Linked DNA regions of Notamacropus eugenii. The protein of the gene in region 2 interacts with the protein of the main gene of each other region in a biochemical or structural test. Links are inferred from orthologs where the notes say so. Each region holds a gene or a part of one and is shown on either strand. Other genes may lie near its edges.

Region 1 (11,007 bases), on a different chromosome or scaffold from region 2:
CTTTTATTTTAAAAAGTCAGCAGAGGGTCTATGTGAAATCCTCCAACTCAACACATATAACTTGGCCTTCTTTCATTATCTCACTCCATTTACAACTTTCACTTTCTCTGTCTAGTTCATCATTGATGACATCCCATTGGCCTAGTGGGATCTTCTTTGTTAGCATCATCAGGAAGCAGGAAAAATATTGGTGAGTTTTTTTTCAAAATACACTTAACAACAAAATAGGAAGATGGCTACAGTACAAATTGCAAGGCATCATAAATACAGTCAGAATCTATCCGGAATACAGTTTTCTGGGTGCCATAGTTCAGGAAGGACACTGTTAAGCTGGAGAGCATGTCAAGCCAGAAATCAAACATGTTCTAAACTTTTAAGAGACTTGATGTAGTCAGATGGCAAAGGACAGCAAAGAAGGATAAGAAAGGAAAGTGATGTTTCTTACCTGGTATCTCTTGTACTCTCCTGACTGATTTCTTTGAGATTGTCTGGCTTATGATGGTTTGGGAAGATGGTTCATCCTCTAAAGAACAAAACATGTTAACAGTTAAAAGTGAGAATGTATAGGGGGAAAAACCCCATAACACCCTATTCAGTTCAAGGGCCACCTCTTTAAGGAAGCCTAATCCTTGCTCTGGAAGCAGTGCTCTCTCCTCAACATGTTTTTTTTTTCTTCTAAACAAAATCTGATCTGTATCTTGCTCTATCACATTCCACACTGTATCATATTTGTCATGTCTCATCCTCCTCTTTGGGGAGAAAAACTATAATTTTTCATGTATTCCTAGCATTTAAGTGCCTTGCACATAGTAGCTAGTTGAATAAATAACTATTGAACACAATATCTCCTGTACTTATGTTTAAATTTTAAACATTTTAATGTTAATGTTTTAAAGCTACTTCTCTAAGTGTCTCCTACAAGGCCACAAACTAGAAGAATTTACTCACTTATACTCTTTTTAGCACCTAGCACAGTTCTTTGCACATATTGCACTTAGCAGATTTTAACTGCACTAAGGTTAAAAAAAAAAACTTGGAATTTACAAAGTCAGAAACACTGCAGGTAGTGGTGAAGACATATGAAAGGAGTCAGAAAGGGAAATTATTTCCATATATTCAGGTTTACTAGCAAAGTATGCAGAAATAGTACTGAAGAAGTGAAACCAGTATTTCCCTCTACAGGGAAATATGTACAAGAAGAGAAAGGAAGGATGGGCTGCAATGTGGTGCTGAAGAACTATATGCTCAAGATCATGAGATGAAAGATCCACTAAAGAGTAGAGAACATAGTAATTCTTTTACTTTTCTCAGTGACTGTTGCTTGAGCTGGGAGTGGGATCCAGAAAAGGTGACAGGACCCCAGCCCTGCCTTTAAGTGTGTGATCCTGCTGAACACACCCACACCCACAAAATTAATAAAATATTTTAGAGAAAACATGCAAAAGGTACAATAATGATAGAAATTTGGGTGAATGTGAAGTCTCTAAAACCAACGTGCCTTCAAATGTCATCAAATGCAAATAAAGAATACTAATGAACTTCACTCCCAACACTTTTAACAGATAATAAGATGAGAGAAGGGACCTGGGATTTTACCCATTTTCACAGAACTGGGGGAGGGGGCTACTCCCTCTAGCAACACCGCAGCATTCTACCTTCTTGGCAACTTACAGTATCAGACAGCTGCCTAGGGCGCTGAGAGGCTAATGACTTCCAGGGTGACAAAGTCAGTTTTGTCAGAGAAAGGAACTGGATCTGAATTTCCAGGCTTCAAGGTCAGCCGGATAGATAACCACTACCTCCCTTTGTCTCTCATGATGCAGACAAGGCCCATGCTTGTCTTCATTTTACTTAGGAGGAATCTGAAATGGAGGCCCAGAGATTCCATTAGACCGTGAACTCCTTGAGGGCAGGGGCTGTTCTTTGCCTCTTTTTGCTGGACACTTTGTAGGTGCTTAACAAATGTTTAATAACGGACTGACCCAGAGGTTAAACAGTTTGCCAAAACGATCTTCACAAAGCACTGGTCATTCCCCTACTCAGTAAACTTCGGTGGCTCCCTCCTCCCTCCTCTCTGTGCCTGGCTGTTCCATCTTCCTGGGATGTTTTTTCTCCCTCTGCTTCTTGGCTCCCTTCAAGACTCAAGTTCAAACCCTATCTTGTGCAAGTCTCCTCCGCTGCCCCCTCCCCTCGATGCGCAGTGACTTCTCTCGGAGCTCACTCCCAACTGGCCCTGCACACTGATGTGTGTCAGTGCTATGTTCTTATTTTGCACGCTGTTTCCCGATGGCAGGGGCTGTTCTTACACCATCAGTGCGTGTCACCCCGTCTATCACCTGGTAATTCAAACCCCAAGAGTGACTCACATCCTTTGCATGACTTTGTGCCTATGTGTCTGCCCCCTCCCCTACACACACACACACACACACACAGACACACACACACACAGACACACACACACACACAGATACACACAGACACACACACACACACACACACACACAGACACACACACAGACACACACACAGTCACACACACAGACACACACACACACAGACACACACACACAGACAGACACACACACACAGACACACAGACACACAGACAGACACACAGACACACAGACACACACACACACAGACACACACACAGACACACACACACACAGACACACACACACAGACAGACACACACACACAGACACACACACACACACACAGACACACAGACAGACACACAGACACACACACACACACACACACACACAGACACACACACACAGACACACACACACACACGTGCACCCCGGGTCCCCCATACCCACGCTGAGCACGGCGCCTCTCACTCAACGGAGGCTTCCCGGCCCGAGCTCCCCTGGGGCCAGGCTGCTCCCTAACTACGGTGGGTTCTCCTTTCTCCTCTTCCTTCTCAGCCACGGGCCCCCCCTTCCTCCCCGGCGGCCCCCTCCCCAGGGCCGGGAAGCTCTCCTAGAGGAATTCGCTCCGGTTCCCTGCGCCTTTTCCTCGGCTGCTCCGGCAGGAGCCCTCTGCCCTCCAGGTCCCGGCTAAGACCCCACCTCCTACAGGAGTCTGGGCTGACCCCGAACGCCGGACCCTGCGCTCCGAGGATGATCGGGGCCGGACCCCGCGCTCGTGCGCACGCTGCTGCCCCGGATAAAGCCCCGGGAATGCCCAACACAGTGCCCTGCCTCCCGCTATTGGGGGGCTGCCCCCTTTCCTTCTTCCTCGGTGGAGGGCGGGGGGCTCCGGGACCGCCCGCGTTCTCCGCCCGTCCCGCCAGCTCCCGATCCATTTCCTCCCGCACCTTAGGGTGTCCCAGCCACGAGCCCGTCCCTCGCGAGGGGGCGCGAGGAGAGGACCCCCCGCGGGGCGCGGAGCCGTGGCCGCCCGAGGCGGGAAACCTCGCGCTCTCCGGGGCGCGCGCGCCTCCCCAGCCCGTTACCTCGGCGGCGGCCACCGCCTCCGCCGCCCTCACCTTCCGAGGGCTGCAGGTCTCGCAGCCCTCTCCTCGTGGTGGCCGGCGAGGGCTGCGGCGGCGGCGGAGCCTCCTGCTGCTGGAGCCGGGTCGTTCTCCTCGTATTCATCTCTCCGAGTCCCAAGCCCGAGAGCAGAGAAGGCGGCCGAGGTCTAAGGTAATAGTAGGCTCTTCTCTCCTCCACTTCCTCTTTCCCGGGCACGGGGCGGAACTCTTGTGCCTGGGTCCGCTTTTCCACCCGGGCACTTCCCCCGGACGCGAGCGGCTCGAAGTCGCCGTACACTTGGGGCGGGAGCTCGGAGAACCTCACTTCCCGTCGGCCCCTGCGCCGAGCCATGGGGCTTCCGTCCGCGAGCGCGTCTCTTCCGCCGCCATCTTGAGGGCCGAGCGGGCGCCTCCCTTGTCGTAGCGGGGCCCTGGGTGTGACGTGCGCTGCCCATCCCTCGCCTGCCATGGTTCGCGGGCCTAGGATGGCCGGCCGGGTCCCTCTCCGGAGCGGCGGCGGGGGCTTGGCGCCCGTCAGGGAGGCAGCTGGGAGTCGTCGGGGCCGCGGCCGCCGCCGCTCTTGTTGCTGTTGCCGCCGCGGTGTGCGGGCTCCTCTGGGCCCATGGTAGCTCCCGAAGGTTGTGAGGCAGGCAGTGCCCGGCTCGGTCAGCTGCCGCTGGGTGTGTGTGTGTGTCACCCCCGCCCTCCTGGCTGCAGGCCCGCCAGAGGAGGAGAAGGGAGAGCCTGGCCCTCCTGCGCCGGGGGGCGGGGAGGGAGGCTCGAGGAGCCGGCCATCCCGGGCTCTCTGGCGAGCGTCACGGGGTGGGCCCGGCCGCCCGCCCGGGGCCCTCCCCGCCGGGAGGCCGTGATCCGGGGAGCCCGAGACAGCGCGGCCCGCGCTTCCTCCACCATTTTGTCGCATCTGTAGCCCAAGCGCCCGCGCCGACCGTGACCCCGTCCGCCCGAGCCGGCTCCGTCACCCCTTTCCTGACTCTGGTGAAAGGTTCAAGGGTCGGTCGGAGACCTTGACAGTTCCCGGGGTAGATGTTGCGGGGACTCATTTTTGTCTTCGCTCTCTGAAATGATCCCCCCTTCCCTCCCTCTCTCACTCGTACATCAGGAGTGGGAGCGGGAGAAAAAAAAAGCCTTGTTAATTGAAAAAGTAAAATAAAAAACTTGTGAAGTCACGGTGAAATGTTAGTCACTTAGTGAAAGCAAAAGCCACTCGGTTTTGATGGGAAAATCTCTGCCCGAAGAACGACCTAGTCGTTTTCCAAAAGCAACATTTGAGTAACGAAAGAAATGAAAAGAAAGTTTGTCCGTCAACCGTATGCTAAAATGATTCTGACGCTTACAGAATTTACCAGCGGATTACGGGCAGGAAACGTTTGCAAATCGGGGTGCTTGGTGCAGCTGATGGAAGGCTGCTTGTTCCGCTGCTTTCATGTAGTCCTGCCGGCGCCTCCGTTCCTCACCTTAAAATTAAGAAATTGTTTACATTCCTTGGAGCTCTTCCATAGATGAGCCTTTTAGAAACTGACATTCCTCCAACTGAAATTGACGAGTGTTTTCCACTTCATTAGCGACTTGGTAAATTACATGTATTTTTTTTTTAAATCTGCGGCATAAATTTGTTGTAGATTTCATCGTACAATCCCCAAGTTTAGTTTACTCTCAATCCAGCACTTGTTAAGTACCCGATCTGTGCCAGAGACTAGAATACAAAATGTTAAAAACTAGGTAGAAACAAGATAGTAGTAAACAATCCACATTAGAGGATACTCGTATTTAACAACCAATCTGAAGTACTGGAGTGCGGTAGTCATAATTGGTGAAAAGCCTTTTGTCTTTAAAAAAAAAATTCTATTTTAAGGATACAGTAACTAGCTTTAGTCTAATAATCATATCTCTTTGAGTCCAGGGAATATGATTTAGTGAATAAATAAAAAAGGATTGATGTTTAGGGTATCAGTTTTTATATAGGTGACAACTTGAGTATGCTTTGAAATTAGTTTAAGGAATTTAAAGTTATTAGGATCTCGTTTAAACTACTCTCGGTAAAAAAAACTTCATTATCTCAACTTTGTCCAAATGATCATAAATAAAGAATTAGTACATACAGTCTTGCCTTTCTGTGGTTTTTAATTATAAATAAAATATAGACCCTTGTTATAGCATTGGCTAAGGATACTTTTTGTATCAGGTAACATAATACAGGGACATAATAGTGCTTTTAGAAATCAGTAACTCATTTTTTACATATATGATATGAACACTGGTCTCCAGTAAAATCAGAACGTGAAAGATAAAAAAAGGAAGAACACTAAGAAAAATAGCTCTTTGTTGCTTTTTATTGCATTCAGGGAAGGGAAAATGAAAGTGGTCTATTTGAGCCTAAGGGATACGTACATGAGACCACAAGTTTTTTACTGCTTTTAAAGTTATTTAAAAGTATAAAGTAACTAGCATTTAGTATTTTAGAAAACTTCTAAAAAGAGTATATTATTAACATAGTCAACTGTAAAATTATTAAATTATACTGTCTACAATAAATCAAATGCTATATATACTGAATAGACATTGTCAAAGGATCCCTCAAGGGCCTCATTTTTTAACAGTAGATTAATATAAGCAAAAATAATAAGACACATCAAAAACTTACCTTTGGGCTCTTTTTGTTGTGGAAGGTATTTCTTTAATTTCTTGTGTGTGTGGTCTAGAAAGGAAGGGGTTCATCTACTATTATACTTACTGATGCGTTGCCAAAAATAGCTCGAGTGGTTTCCCCAAAGAAATCTTTTAAAAAAGAAAGAGCATAGACAATTTTAGACAGAAGTTTGCTTGTTTGTGGCCTTGGTCTACCTGGGAGGACTACTTATATCCTGGCCCCTCCTCTGTTTGTGAGGTGACAGCAGAAGCTGCAGATGCCTAACAACATGTGTGTTTCACCCAGCAACCCCTTAAACCTTAACCTAGAGAAAAGTTTTAATGTCAGAGCTGTCCAACAGAGAAGTTGTTTGTCTTCAGGAATGTCATCCCTATTGGGAAGATACATTTAGAGCTGGAAAGGACTTCAGAGGCCATCTAGTCCAACCCCTTATTTTACAGATAGGGAAACAGATCCAGAGAGATCAAGTGACTTGAAGGTTTACAGGTAATCAGGGGTGAGATTTGAGCCACTAAGCCTCTGATTCCAGGGCCAATGTAATTTGTGTACCCTACCGGAGAATTTATCTCTTAGGTTTGTAGAAGGGATTCCTTCCTGTCAGATTAGCTTAAGACCAGCATAAACTTTTGTCATTTCAGTTACCAATCTCTGAAAATTACTATAACAACCCCTAATAAGGGTTTGGCTAGAATTTGTAATTCTCCATTGGGAAAGACTGCAACCCCAGTTTCTTCTTAAACTGGGGAGAACTACAGATCCCAGTGGCTTTTGTGACCAGTCAATCCAGGAGTGGTTTGATTACAATTTTAAAATATTTCTTAGTAAAGTGCCTAGAATGTCATGAAGAAAAATTTCATCTTTTAAAGCACTGAACTAAATTTCATTCTGAACTTCCCTTTTTACTGTGGAGGGGCACTACCCTGTCCCCAGTCATTCAAATTCAAAACCTTGTTGTCCTGGCCATTTGCTATTCCTCACTCTTGTCCCTCATATTCAGTCTGTTGTCAAATCTTGTCATTTCTAGCTCTGTGACATCTCTCATACATCCCATTCTCTCTACTCATACAGCCAGTACTCCAGTTCATACTCTGTCCTATCTCCACTCCACTACTGGAGTAGTTTTTTTCTAAATTAAAGACCTAACTGACATTGAGTTCTGTGGCTCCCTATTCCAAGATCAAATTAAAGACTTTGGTTTGACTTTTAAAGCTCTTCGTGATTTGTCCTCTTCCCCTTTGAAATCTTACACTTTACTTGATTCTACACACAATGTGATCTAGATACAGTGACCTTGCAGTTCTGTGGTCGTGATGTTCCATCTCTTGTTACCATGCCTGGCACTCATTCCCCTATCTTAGAGATGGATACTATTAAGACACAAACAGGGGTGTGAGTGTGTGTGTGTGTGTGTGTATAATATGTAGATTATATATCTATCTGTTCTTTCTTTGGATGTAGATAGTGTCTTCATATGTCCTTTATTTTTTAATTTTTGGATTTATAACAGTGAAAGGGACTTAGTCTTTTGAAGTCATTCTTAAAACAATATTGCCGTTACTGTCCACAATGTTCTCTTGGTTCTGCTTATTTCACTTTTCATCGTTTCATACAGGTATTTCCATGCTTTCTAAGATCATTGAGCTCATCATTTCTTATAGTATTCCACTGCAACCATATATCACAATTTGTCCAGCCATTCTCCAATAGATGGACATCCCCTCAATTTCCAGTCTTTGACACTGCAAAGAGAACTTCTATAAACATTCCATTCACATTCAAAGTTATAATTAGTTTATGAATTTCTCTCCATCTTATTTTTACTCAGTTTTGTTTCTTAGCCTCTCTTTTTACCCTATCCCTGTCACCTTATCTTCTCTCCCTCTCAAGTCCCTCTCCTACTTCATCCACCCCTCCAAGAGTCTCTTCATCTCTCACAATCTCAATCAGTACATTCCTCTAAAAGTCCCTCCCCTAGTTTTCTCATTTTTGCATGCTCAGAAGACTTCTACACTCTCCTGGAATATTCTTTCCTATCATCTCTGCCTCTTAGTTTTTTTGACTTCCTTCAAGATTGAGTTCAAAGCCCACCTTCTGTGGAAGGCTTTTCTCTGACTCATCTCTGCCCCCACTCCCAGATGTGAATGGCTTCCCCCATTGATGCCATATGCTCTATATAGATTATGTATGTAGTTAGTTATTTGTTACTATCTCCCCATTAGACTGTAAGTTCCTGGAGGGAAAGGGAGATTTCCCCCCCATTCTTTGCATACCCAGTGCCAAGCACAGTGGAGGGGGGCACAAAATATACACTTAAATGCTTATTGGTTGACTGATACTAAGTACTTTTAACAGTGGAGACTGACTGGTGATGCAGTATCTTCTGAAGGAATGGGGATCCAGGTTTCTGTTAAGTCCAAGAAATTGTAAAGACTAAGAGGAAGCCATCTAAGAGGAAGAGGAATTTATCAACAACAGAGCAGGATTCCAGAGGGCACAAGGAAAGGGGAAGACAGAGTAACAGAATTGCAGAGGTGTATGGTTGAGGTTGATGGGAATGAGAATAGAGAATGCTATAGCAAGGGAAGATTTTCAACTTGGCAGATGATGACTGAATCACAAACATGCTTAGGTCTCTCCAATAATTAAAACAATAATTACAATCACATTTACATAGCTCCTTAAAGTTTACAAAGCACTACCAAAATAAAGTGCAAATGAGTACATGATTTAGGTATAAAGGCTGATACTATAAACAAATTAGGGGAGCAAGGAAGAGTTCATCTGTTAGATTTATGGTGAATGGAGGAATTTATGACCAAACAAGAGATAGAGAACATTATGAAATGCAAAATGAATAATTTTGATTACATTAAATTGAAAAGTTTCTGCACAAACAAAGCCAATGCAACCAAGGTTAAGAGGGAAGCAGAAAATTGGGAAAGAATTTTTACAATTAATATCTTTCATAAAGGCTTCATTTCTAAAATATATAGAGAACTGAGTCAAATTTACAAGAATACAAGTCATTTTCCAAATGATAAATGGTCACAGGATATGAATAGGTAGTTTTCAGAGGAAGAAATTAGAACTATAGTCGTAAGAAAAAATGCTATAAATCAGCATTGATCATATATTGGCTCTGACCACACTTGAACAATTAATATTTCTTCAGTTACTTAAATCTGAACTTTATTTGCATAAAAATGTTTTATAATCATGTTCATATAGTTTCTGGGTTTCTCTTGGCAGCTGTAATCTCAGGTATTTTATTCTTTCCATGATTGTTTTAAATAGGGTATCTCTTACATCTCTTGTTGCAGGTTTGAACTTTTAAGTGAAGGATGAACTGCGCTGCTAGTCTTAGCCTTGTGCTTCTTTTTAAATTTCAGGGTAGTTAATCCTTTATTTATGTATTTTACATGAATAACATGATATGCTTTACTGAATACTTTATTACAATTAAGTAAACTATATTGCTAGCATCCCCCATAGCAAATTATTAACCCTGTCAAAAAGGAACTTAGCTTTGTGTTGAAAAAGACAGCTCGAAAAAGTTCTTCATTCCCAATGCCTTAAGTTCCTTAATTACCTGTACTTTTGTTATTTGAATTTCTGATCCAGTCAGTCTGACTGGAATTGCTGTCTCAAAAAATACTAGTGACTATCAAATTGCCTAATACAGCCTAATTAATTTCAATGCTAGTTACTTATTACCTGTATTTCTGTGAAGGATCTAGACATTTTTGATCATCTTTTCCTTCTAGATACTCTCACTTTTCTTATGAATGTTATATGTTCTTGGTTGTTGTTACTATAATAATGTGTGTATAGTGCTTTGAGGTTCCCAAAGAGCTTTCTTCACAACAGGACTGACATGAGTAGTTCAGTGCAGGTGTTATTATCCCCATTTTGTGGATTTAGAGGTGAAGGCTCTCAAGGGTACATTTCTTGAATGGTCCACTACCTAGTAAGTTTGATAATCAGTTGAAGGAAATGGGGTTGTTTATCCTGGAGAAGAGAAGACTTGAGGGTAAGCAAGGAGGGGAATGTTATAGCTGTGTTAAAGTATTTAAAAGATTGTCACCTGGAAGCAGGTTATATTCCTTTTGCTTGGCTCCAGAGGAAGAACTGGGATTAGTGGATAAAAAAAAGTAAAAGGGAAATTTTTCCTAATAATTCAAGCTGTCCAAAAGTGGAATGGGCTTGTTCAGGATATAATGGATTCTGCCCTCACTGGAGGTTTTTGAGGGATGCTTTCTTCATGTTTGCATTGGGCTCTTCCAGCTCTGAAATTCTGTGATTCTGCATATTTAAAGTGACCAGAATAATTTAGAGTACCTTACTTCATAGGTTGGAAAGTAGTTAAAGAATTAATAATAGCTGTCATTTGTGTAATGCTTTAAGATTTGCAGAGCACTTTGCATGTAAACTCCCTTGATCCTCACAGCACGCCAGTGAGGTAAGTGTTCTTATTATTCTAGAACTGAGGAAACTGAGGCTGAGAGAAGTGATGGGACTTGCCCAGGGATTGCCCAGCTAATAAAAGGACAAATGACAACTAGCTGATGTCAGCAGAAGACGGGAGCATATTTTTAGAATATTAATAATTTTCTGAAAATAAGAATTTTGAAGTGCTACTTACCCAACAAAATGAGGTAAGTACATGTTGTTGTTAATAATGGTAACTTGTAGTTACATAAGCTTCCTTACAGGAAGGGTAGAAAAAACTACTACTCCCAGCATTCCACTGGACACCTTTTCCTTGGGGCAAAGTTCACAGTCACATTGACCGGGGAAGATTTTGAGGCCCGGTTGTGTGTAGCTACCTGTTTTTCCAGTCCGGATTGAAAACTGAAAA
Region 2 (11,118 bases):
TTGTTACCAAGTTTTGTTTTTGTTTCTTTTTTGCTGTTGTTATTTTCGGTTGAAGAGTACGCACTAGGAGGGAGAGAAAATAAGTGCTTGTTATTTTTTAAAAATAAAAGTTAAAAAACCAAGGGATAGAACCTGATTGATCAGATCCTAAAAAGTTAAAGTTAGGAATATGAAGAAATCCACATCTCCAACTCATCATAGCTGTTGCAGCCCAGTAGAATTCCTTTCCTTCCCCAATGGAAAGAAAAGATTTAAAACAAGAAAATAGAAAAACTATGAAAATTGTTCTAAAATATTTATAGGAGCTCTCTTTGTGGTAGCAAAGAACTGGAAATGGGGGAATGCTCATTAGTTGGAGAATGGCTAAACAAATTGTGGTATACGACTGTGATGGAATACTACTATGCTGTAAGAAATGATGAACAGGTTGATTTTAGAATAATGTGGAAAGACTTGCCAGAAATAATAAAGAATGAAATAAGCAGAACCAAGAGAATGTTGCGTACAATGACAGCGACATTGTTTAATAATAACTGAAAAAATAAGCTATTCTGAGTATATAAATATTCAAATCAACTACAAAGGAGTATGAGGAAGATGCTACCCAACTCCTGAGAAAGAGAAGATAAATGGAAGGACACAGTATGGTTTTATATGCATGTATATGTCGATGTGTCAAATGGTGGCCTTCTCAAGGGCAGGGTGGGGAAGGAAGGAGGGAGGGAAACAGTTCAGAACTTAAAATATAACAAAAAAATTTTTTAAAAAGAGAATAAAAACTATGAACATTTCCAAATGTGCAGGCTAAGGTATCAAACATTCCAGACCCAGAAGAGAGGAGGACTGGAAGATCACAAAGCCCCTTCCCCAACCCATTTACACAAAACACTGAGTTACACACACACACACCCAGAGTACTACTTACTATTCCTGTTGTTGAAGACTGACACAGACAACGCCTGCTCCACATCTTTCAGCTTGATTTCCTCTCTCTGCTTTCCACTCCTCCAGAAATCTAAAGCCACATCTGTTATTCTTTCAGCTCCTGCATTGCTATGAGATGTGTACAAAAATAAGGACTTGCTGCCTTAGTTGCTGTGAAGACAGCCCAGAATCCTTCATTCTTTCCAAATCCCATCTTACCTGAGAAAGATGAAGATGGCTTTCTGATAGGAGATGCCATCTATCAAGTCATAGTAGTCTAGGAATGGCTTGATAGCATCTATAAGCCCTGCATGCATCTTATCCATTTCATCAAATATAAAGATGGACCTTGCACAGGCACTCACATTCCCCCGAATCCACAACTGTAACTGGTCCTGGATTATAACAAACCAAAAATACCCAGGGGAGACTTCAGTAAGAATAATGTAGAAGAATGTTACCCTGGAAATAGCTAAAATGCCTAAGGAATCCTTCTTTTAATGATATCACTTTAATGTCATGCCAATCTTTTTTCTTTTTTTATCTTTTGTCATAATTAGAGAAGAAATAGGAAAGAAAATTATCCTTTATAGTCTAATGAGAAGGATATGGGTTACTGAGTTATAGCATGTTACCATCTATTGATTATCTTTCCAGATAACTGATTATTGGAAAAAATGTTATTGATTATCTGAAAAGAAATCATTTTAGGTTCTAGTTGAATAGTACTGATTATAAAAGAAAATAAAGCACAATTAAAAATAATCTAATGAACTAAAAGTAGCTTATGACCTCAGAATAGTATATCTACACCAGTAAAAGAAATAATGAAGAAAAGCAAATTTAAGTATTCTTACCCATTCTCAAAAAAACCCTTCCCAAATACTTTTGCTAAGGCAAAGTGAAATCAAACAGATAGGTTATAGAAATGGTACGACACGAAGAAGGGCTACACTGGCAGAAAATGTGAGTTCTCGGCTAGCTCTGCAACTAACTAGCTATGTGAGCTTGAATAAATAACTTGCCCTCTCTGGGTCTCAACTTCCTCATATGGAAAATGAGACTTCTCTTCCCTCCCAAAGGCCAGGCACTTCCAGTGTCCCATTTGATTCCTGAATGTCGATCTCACGAATTCAGCACTATGGACATTACAAAGGAAGCATTAAAAAGCTCTAACAGCTGAACTGCTCTTGTGCATCAAACACATCTGCCTCCCAAATGCTGTATAACCCTTTACAAAGGTGCAAAATATAATACAAAAGGGACATCCAGAAAGAAATTCTCAAAGATCATTCATTTGTTTAGCATATTATCCCATAAACTTCATCATCACCCACACAAAAACATCAAACAAAGCCCAACCCCTGTGCAGCTGGGAAAGATTCCAGATTATCTTCTTGCCTTATATTGTACGATGTTCCCAGCATGTGGAAAGTGCAATGTGGCCACAAATAGGTGCACATAATCACTGTTAAGTCCACCCTCATAAATATGCTCAGCTATGATTTTGCTGACAAAATTTTTCCCTGTGCCAGTCCATCCATGCAGGGAGAGGGTGAGAGGTTTCTTGGACTTTGGGTTACTTATGAACCCGGACACAGCATTTAATATCACTTTCTTTGCAAGGTGCTGTCCAAAGAGCTTGCTGTCAAGGTCCTTCTGTAATGCTGAGGAAAAAACAAAAGTTGTCATATACAAGTAAAAAACTGGTTGGCAGACTAGATAAAACATACTACCAGCTAAGGATTGGTTCAGATCTTCTGGGATGCTAACCAGCTATAACTAGCAGTTGACTAAAATAACCTGACTCTTCAGCCCCAAAGAAATTCTGTGGAGGACTCCCCCTCCCCCAAACCCTTGCTATTTCTTCCTTGCTGCAAACTTCCTGGGCCCCACCTATGCCAACGACACATCATCTTCCAGCTTTTTCAAACAGGAACAAAAACTGTCCATCAGTTTGGCAGAAAGGCCTCTGCCTCTTCAGTGTCTACATCACATCTAAGAATTAAGTAGCCAAATCTAACCTTACTTTATGGCTTCCTATCTTGGGAAAGGAGGAAAATGGGGCTCATGTAGATTCAACCACCACCTGTACAACTGAGGGAGACAAGACTCCCTCTTTCAATATCTCTCCTCTTCTCAATGAAGAATATACTTTTAAGAAGATTCAATTACAAAAGTATTCTATTTTCTCTTGCAAAGAAGGCTGAAGCAGGGTCTACAAACTCCATTTTTTGTTGGAGGCAGCAAGCAGCTCCCTATCTCAACTTCCAACCTCTTCCCCACAAAATCTCTGCACTTACCCAGGGAGCCCCCACTACTCTTTCCATGGCACCCAAAATGTTCTCCCTTGTCCTTACCAGATACCACCACTCCTTATCCCCTCTCCCTCCCTCCCTCCCCAATCTCCAAGTTTTACTTTTCTATGATCTCCATCCTTGAGGAAATACAATACAATGGAAAGACCACTGGACTTCAGAGTCAGGCACCCTGGGTTTTAATTCTAACTTTGCTATTTTAATAATGGCTCAAAATTCTGGATTACAAAGTGTTTTACTGACAATACTATGAGGTGAGGGTTTTCTCTCTTTTTCTTCTGATCCAGACCTGTGATTTCATCTATAAGAGGGAAAGTTTGTTGCAGAAACTCCCTTCATCAATACAGATGGACAACTCTCTGGTTATTCATCCATATAATTTTCTGGGGACACTTAAGTGACTTACCCAGGGTCATACAGGACTTGAACCTGGCTCTTTCTGACTCCAAGCCTAACTTTTATCCACTAAACTCATTCTTGCCTCTCCACGTGGTGACCTCTGCCAAGAAGCATGGCCAAGTCTTGGGCCAGTTAATTATGGTTGGTTCTCACCAATTAGGAGCATGGGCCCAAGCCTGTCAAACTGGACAAGGCATGCAATCTCACTCAAGCGTCTTCCTCTTTAACCTAACCCAGCAACTCCTTCTCCTCCCCTTTAGCAACTATAATCAAATCAATACTACCCTTTTTTTCTGGAAAGGATTTGCCAAGCAAGCATCATGCCAGGCCCAATGCTAGGTACTGGGCATACGAAAACACAAAACAGCAATGCCGACTCAGGGGGAGTTTACATTTTAACTGGAGAGACAACAAGGTCATATAAGTGTATATGGAACAAACATAAAAAGAATAAATACAAAGTAGTTAAACAGTAGTTTGAGAAAGGAGGCCCCTAGAATTTGAGGAATCAGGAAAAGCTTCAAGTAGAAGCAAACAACTGAACTGCATCTGAAAGGAAGAGAGGGGCCCTATGAGGAAAAGGAGGTGCTCCAGGAATAGGGCAAAGGTCTGGAGATGGGAGATGGCGACCAACTGTGCTATTATTGTTCCACCCACCATCTTACCCAAACTCCCTGCCCTAGTCACCACCATCCCAGTAAGAAAGGCAGCTCTAGAGGGGCAGGGGCCCTCTCAATTCTGTTTTTATCCGCACGGTTTCTGTCGCAGCCAGGGGGCGCTGTGGAGAGTCCGCGGCTTGGAGCGGTCAAGCTCGGAGTTGGAGTCCAGTCCCAGACACCTCAGGCCACCCCTTCCCTCCGCACCAGCACGTGCCTCCGGGGCGGTCGAGGGCAGTGAGCTGGGCGGACACTCCCCAACCCCGGGGCCTCACTCGACGCGGACCCACTTGTGGAACCCTGGGCAGGCTGCTCGTCCTCTCTAAAGGGCCGGCGAAATGACGGGGTTGGCCCTCACGACCCCCAAAGTCCCCCCAGGACCCCCGCTTCTCCCCACATCTCAGAGCGGGTCTCTCCACACTCCTGGCCTCCAGCTTCCGGGGAGCACCCAGGGTCCGGAGGTGCTCATCGCCCCACTGTACTGATGGAGAAACTGAGACTCGCGAGAGGACGGGGCCGCCCTCCCTGCCCCCGGCCCGGCCCCGGCCCCCGGCCCGGCCCCGGCCCTACCCTCGCGGCTGAGGCTCCGCTTCTGGCTGCAGCACTCGGTGAAGAGGCAGTAGAGGCGCGGGTAGGAGATGTAGCCGGTGAGCACGCCGGCCAGGGCCAGCCCCAGGCTGATGGGCTCCACGGCCCGCACCAAGGGCGGCGCCAGCAGCAGCAGGCCCAGGGCGGCCCGGACCAGCTTCATGCCCGGACCGCACGGAGCCGAGCCACACCGAGCCCGCCTTCCCGGCCACGGCTTCGGCCGGTGAAGATGACAGGCCGCCGCCGCCGCTTCCGGCTCCGCCCCTCCTCTACCGCCCGCCGCCATCTTTGTGAGGGGAAAACACTTCCCGCGCCGCCTCCGAGGACGGGCAGCGAAGCCGGAGCCGGCCATCTTGGAGTGGGGCAAAGAGCCGGCCTCCTCCCTCCCCTCCAACTGCTTAAGACTCTGATTCCAGACTTTTTAGTCTCAGGACCATTTTACACTCTTGAAAATTATTGAGGACCTCAAAAAACTTTCCTTTACAGGAGTTATCTTTGTCCATATAGGTGGACAGAGTGGATAGTGGATAGAGCTGCTAGGCCAGTTAGACGTAAGTTCAAATTCGGCTGTATGACCTTGGGCAAGTCATATTCATCTGTCTGCCTTAGTTTCTTCAACTAAAATAAGAATAATAGCCCCTCCCCCCAAGGTTGTTGTGAGGATCAAATGAGATAGCATCTGTAAAGCACTTGCAGTTCCTGGCACACATATACATGTGTATGTATGTTAATAATCATTTAATATCATTTTTGGACTTTAATAAGGGCTAGAACCTGAATTAATCAATCAGAAGAAGAGCCTGGCCCAAACAACCTCTTTATTCTCTGAGTAAACTCAGAGAATACCTCTTCCTATGTCAACAAGGCTAGAGGGGGCTTTTCCTTTTTCCTCTGTTTAAGGATGTGACCCTTAATCGGACACAGTATCTTTTTTCTGTATCTTAGTATTTTGTGGACATTTAAATGTTATAACATGTTAATAGTAAAGAAAACACAGATATCCTGGGTCATAATTTCAACTGGCACTTTGTCAACTCTCTTATTGTATTTACAACTTATTCAATTAAGAAAATTCCTTTCTCATGGTATAAACACATAGAATGTAATTCTGAGGGAGGGACACAGATATCCTGGGATTGTCCTAAAACAGATTTAAGCCTTGTCACTCTTGTATCAGTCAGTCAGAACTTATATTTTGTCTCTTTGTACAAGTTCTAGTTTAGACTAGCTCAAAGTGAATAAACAATATGCATTAACATATCACCTACCCTGTTTGCCTCCTTTAACCAAATTTCCAGATCAGCAATGTATATATACATATATATACATATACGTAAATACATACACACACATATATATATATATATATACATAAGTACTTAATAAATGTTTGTTCCCTTCCTACAACTTAAAACTTGATACAATTTTAAAATATTCATTTATTAATTCATTTAAAAATGACAATGTATCACAAGTGAACATGAATGTTTTACAAAAAATAACCCTATTTTCCAAAACAATGAATTAGTGAGAAAGCATTGCTTTACAAATCTTTTCAAATTTTGACTTAATGGAAGACACCTGATTTTCCTATCTGCTTCTGCATTGTATATTGTGATACAGTTTTGACTGAATATATGAATAGGACCAACTGTGTGTAGTTGGAAAAGGGAGGAGTATTTAAATAGGCAAGTAATATCTTAGTATTTTTAGGAAAATAATTTTGATCTCAGGCACCCCCTGAAAAGGTCTCAGACACCCCAGGGTTCTAAGGACCACACATTAGGAATTCGACCTTTCCAGGGTATCTTGATGTGTCAAGATTCTGAGAGCCTGCGACCATCTAGTCCACTTTTTCCATTTTACAGATGAGGAAACTGAGGCCCAGGAGGTTAAATGACTTGCCTAAGGTTGTACAGGTGGTAAACTATAGAGGGTAGATTTAACCCAGGCCTTTGGTCTCCAGAACCAGTGAGCTTTCATACTGGAGACTGTTTTCTTCCTGTAGAAGACAATGGATTTTGTCTTGGCTTTTTTGTCCTTAATATTCACTTTGTTGTCACACAACTGATAGGGATATTTTCTAATGCTTGTATCAGATTTCTAGGGTAGTTAGGCTCTTTCTTGTAAGCAACTCCCAGTGTTACATCGAACATTAAAATTGTGCCCTGAGTTTGGATGTAATAATCCTTCTCAGACCACCAAATTTCTCTTGGTTAACTGTATCCTAAACATTGAATTTAATAGGACTACTGTTAGCATGGAAAACAAGGGGAAGGACCTCAACATCCAAGGTGACCACATCCTTCTCAAATTCACCAGTCAAGTGACATTTTCCAAATGTGGCTTTTTTCTTATTACCATCTGACCTACTAATACAAGTTTGAACTGAACTTGGGGTCTTCCTTGGGCAGCCTTGCTGATGGCTCTTCTAAAAGTTATCTCTCTGTCTGAATGAATTATCTGATTTCAAGGTAAATGCTTTTCTCACTATACATCACCTTAACTTCAATGGGACTTGGTTTCCCCTTCTGTAAAATGAGGGAGTTGGCCTCCAAGAACCCTTATAGGTCTGAGGTTCTGTGATTCTTCACAGGAAAGGCAGACTAGATGTGTTTGTACTGCCCACTGGTACTAGAGTCTGCCACAACCAAATTCTCCATAAAGAGACTTGTTGCAACTAGAAAACACTTCTCCTCAATAAGGCAGTAAAAGGGCCTTGGTTAGTCTGTTCAATTCTACTATCAGAATTCACTAGTCATTTGGCAAATCCTAAGATCATAAAGAGCCCACCTCGTGTTCAACCTCTTTATTTTATAGATAGGGAAGTTGTGACTTGAGAACACGCAGGAAGGAAGGAAGCACAGAAGGCAAATCACATGGCCGAGGTCTAGCAGACCACTGCAAATATGCCACAAAACTGAATACAACTGGACTGCCTACTATGTGTTAGGTTAAATATTAGAAATACAAAGATAAAAATGAAAATCTGCCCTTGATGATCTTTCATTGACATTTGATAGACTGAAATCACTATTCCATAGATGTGTACAAAATATATTTTTTTTACTTTATCTATGACAGAAATTATACCTATATATAAATCTATAATCTATCATTTCATTTGTATACAGAACTCTCTACCAATGAAGATAGGCATACTTGTCAGTGAATCAGCCATCAGTCAAAAAACATTTATTAAGTGCCTCTTATGTGCTAGGCACTGTGCCAAAAGCTAGGGATACAAAGAAAGGCAAAGTGTCTGCCCTCAAGGAGCACAATCTAAAAGGAAAAACATGTAAAACCATGTAGAAACAAGATATATACAGGATAAATTTTAGATAATCAATGGGGGGAAGGCACTAGAATTGAGGGATTTGGGAAGGCTTCATGTGGGTGGGGTTTTAGCTAGGACTTGAGCCAGGGAGTGATGAGGAAGGGGAGCATTCCAGGCATGGAAGCAGCCAAAGGAAATGCTTGCTCAGATGTAATATTTCATTCAAGGAAGAACAAGGAAGTTGATGTCCCTGGATAGTGAAATACATGGGGTTGTTGGGAGGAAGTCTACCATGTCCTAAGTCTACCACTTAGGAATACTTGGCTTATGAATGCCAGGGCTAGGGCTCACACATACAAAAATCAATATAACTATCACCCTCAAGAAGTTTATATTCTGTTTTTTTTTTTAGAATAAAGTTTTATTTATATCATTTTTTTTCACATCACCTATTCTTTCCCAATGTTCCCTTTCTCTTGTCTTGCAGAAAAGTTTCCCGCATAATTGTGATAGGACCCTGTCCAAAGAGAGGTCATTCTCCTGACTGAGATTAATTGCCTGTTTGGTAAACCTGCTTCTCAATGTCAGCTAAGAAAGAATGGAGGGGACTACTCTACTACTAAGCATATCCTGTCATTTTATGCTTGTTTACTTTGCAGTGAAGAAAAGGCTTTTTGGTTGGCTGCATCAGCTGGCTTCCCTAGTTTTTCTTTCCTTGTGGTGAGCAAGGCAATACCTGCTGTTAAGCCTCTAGGTGTGAGAAGAAGTACCAGGGCCAACAAACAGGTCCTACATATGGCTCGGAACATATGATGTCTTTTTCTTTCTGTCTATTTGTTGATTCTTTCCTACTTTTAGGTGACATGTTAGAAATGAACCACACTGTGACCCTATAAGCTTTGAAAGATTAGGGGAGTCACAAGTGGCCCAGGATCTGGAGTCCATCCCAAAGTGTGTCATTTTCATCAGCAACAGCAGCAGAGTGGAGAGGCATCAGCACTGCTGTGAGCAGTGAACTGCTGGACTAGGTGTAGCAAACTCATCAAGGGGCAACTTTTCCAGTACACATTCCAGGCCACATTCATAAGCAGACTTGCTGGGACAAATGTTTCCTGACGGTGGCTATAAGCTGGAGCCCACTCTCCTCGGGGACTGAAGTAGCATGAACCCCAGCGTGGAGGGGATGTTTGTATTTCTGACCAATATATCTTCTCAACAAACATCCTTTGGTAAAAGCTAACTGATATTAATTGGTTAAATAGTATTGGGATGCTCATCACTGGGGCAATAAATGGGGGAGATACTAACTGGGGAACATGTTATAACGAGGGGTTGAGCCAATAATATTAAAGGCATTTTCTACTCCTCAGGGGTATCCTATTACCCAGAGGGGGGATGGAGCCTGCCCTCTGGGGACTGGTTTTCATTGGGGAGGGAAAGTAGGAGTTAGAATAAGGATGCAGAGTATATAAGAGCTAATAACAATAAAAGAGGGGAGCAGAGTCTAACAAAACTAAGCAACACATTAAAAATATCTGACATATATGCAGTGTCCAGACCTACATTCCTCCACATCTGCATAGGAGGTACCTTCCTCTGTCTCTTCTTTGGGTTCAAGGTTGGTCATCATAATTTGATGGTTTCCATTGTTATTTCCATTTACATCATTTGATGCTTTATAAACAATTTTCCTGGTTCTGTTAACTTCAGTTTACAATAGTTCATGTTTTCTCATGCTCTCATCCAGCCATCTTCCCTAACCCATCACTACCCTTTCCATTTCTTCTGCAAACTTGAATCAAATCAATACTACCTCAAATCAACTGTTTCTGGAACCACTGTTTCTGGAAAGAGCATGTCAATTAAATGTTGCTCCCCCCACACACACCTCAGAGAATTTCCAGACCAAAACCACCTTCCCTAGCAAGCCTCCTCTTTGTGTGCTACTTCCCCTTTTAGAATGCTAGCTCCTTGAAGGCAGGGACTGTTCTTGCTTTTTTGTATTTATCTCTAATTACAGGTGCTTGTAGAATAGTCCATCACTGTGACCATACTTAAAGTCATTACAGCTAACAGATTCTGCCAGGATCACCTCCTTGTCACATAGAGCACCAGCGCAGGACTTTAGTGGAAGTCAGTCCTCAATGCATTACCAGATCATGGGATTTTAGGAACACATGCCCCTGCCTGGGCTGATTTCTACAGCCACTCCATGTTTTCTCTCATAGGGACAACAACTGATTACAGGAGGCCAAATCAATAAAGGAGTAGTACTACATTTGCAGTAAGAAGACCTGAGTCCAAATTCCATCACTGCCACTTATTACCTGTGACCTAGGGCAAATCATTGACCTTTTCTGTATCTCTCTTCATCTGTAAAATGAGGGGGTTGGATTAGATGACATCTATTTGAGCTCCACATCAACAATCCTGTAATTACTAATACAGCTCACAAATCTATAGCATTTTACAACAAAAAGCACTTTCCTCAGAGCCTATGAGGTAGGTAGTGTAAGTATATTATTAGTTTAATGAATGAATGAAAAAGCATTCATTAGATGCTTACTATGTGTTCATCTCAAAAGGCAAAGTGAATAATCCCTCAATTTGTGGAGGACTTTACATTTTCTTAATTGACAGGCCCTCAAATACTATATTTTGGACCTGACTTCCCTTGAATCTAAATTTTCTGCCTGTAGCACAAACATTTGAGAACATTTCAGGAGTTTTATAGCCTCCTATCACAGGATGATAACTATCTTCCCCTTCCTGAGTGAGGCCTAATTTGAGAGAAAACCTCAAGGAAACCTACTACTATCCAAGTGGCAATATTTTTAATGGGAAGTAATCTTGTAAAATGTGTCAATGCCTGATAAAACATGTTTTTTTATGTCTTTTGAGCTGGACCTGAAAAGTCCACTTCAGTCACTCAGGTTTGTCCTGGGGCTGGAGAATA

The links.
Region 1: the proteins of TOR1A (region 2) and TOR1AIP1 form a complex in vitro, tested with the Homo sapiens proteins (2 studies listed by BioGRID and IntAct). The link is inferred for Notamacropus eugenii from reciprocal best matches to the Homo sapiens genes TOR1A and TOR1AIP1.

The regions. Positions count from the first base shown.
Region 1 is NC_092873.1:465,740,347-465,751,353, forward strand, and holds the start of TOR1AIP1 (torsin-1A-interacting protein 1), read right to left. Parts: upstream 4,789-11,007; 5' UTR 4,404-4,788; coding exon 3,464-4,403; intron 524-3,463; coding exon 446-523; intron 1-445. UniProt on the Homo sapiens protein: Required for nuclear membrane integrity. Induces TOR1A and TOR1B ATPase activity and is required for their location on the nuclear membrane. Binds to A- and B-type lamins. Possible role in membrane attachment and assembly of the nuclear lamina.
Region 2 is NC_092872.1:481,390,001-481,401,118, forward strand, and holds the start of TOR1A (torsin-1A), read right to left. Parts: upstream 5,145-11,118; 5' UTR 5,049-5,144; coding exon 4,868-5,048; intron 2,592-4,867; coding exon 2,326-2,591; intron 1,320-2,325; coding exon 1,144-1,319; intron 1,054-1,143; coding exon 926-1,053; intron 1-925. UniProt on the Homo sapiens protein: Protein with chaperone functions important for the control of protein folding, processing, stability and localization as well as for the reduction of misfolded protein aggregates.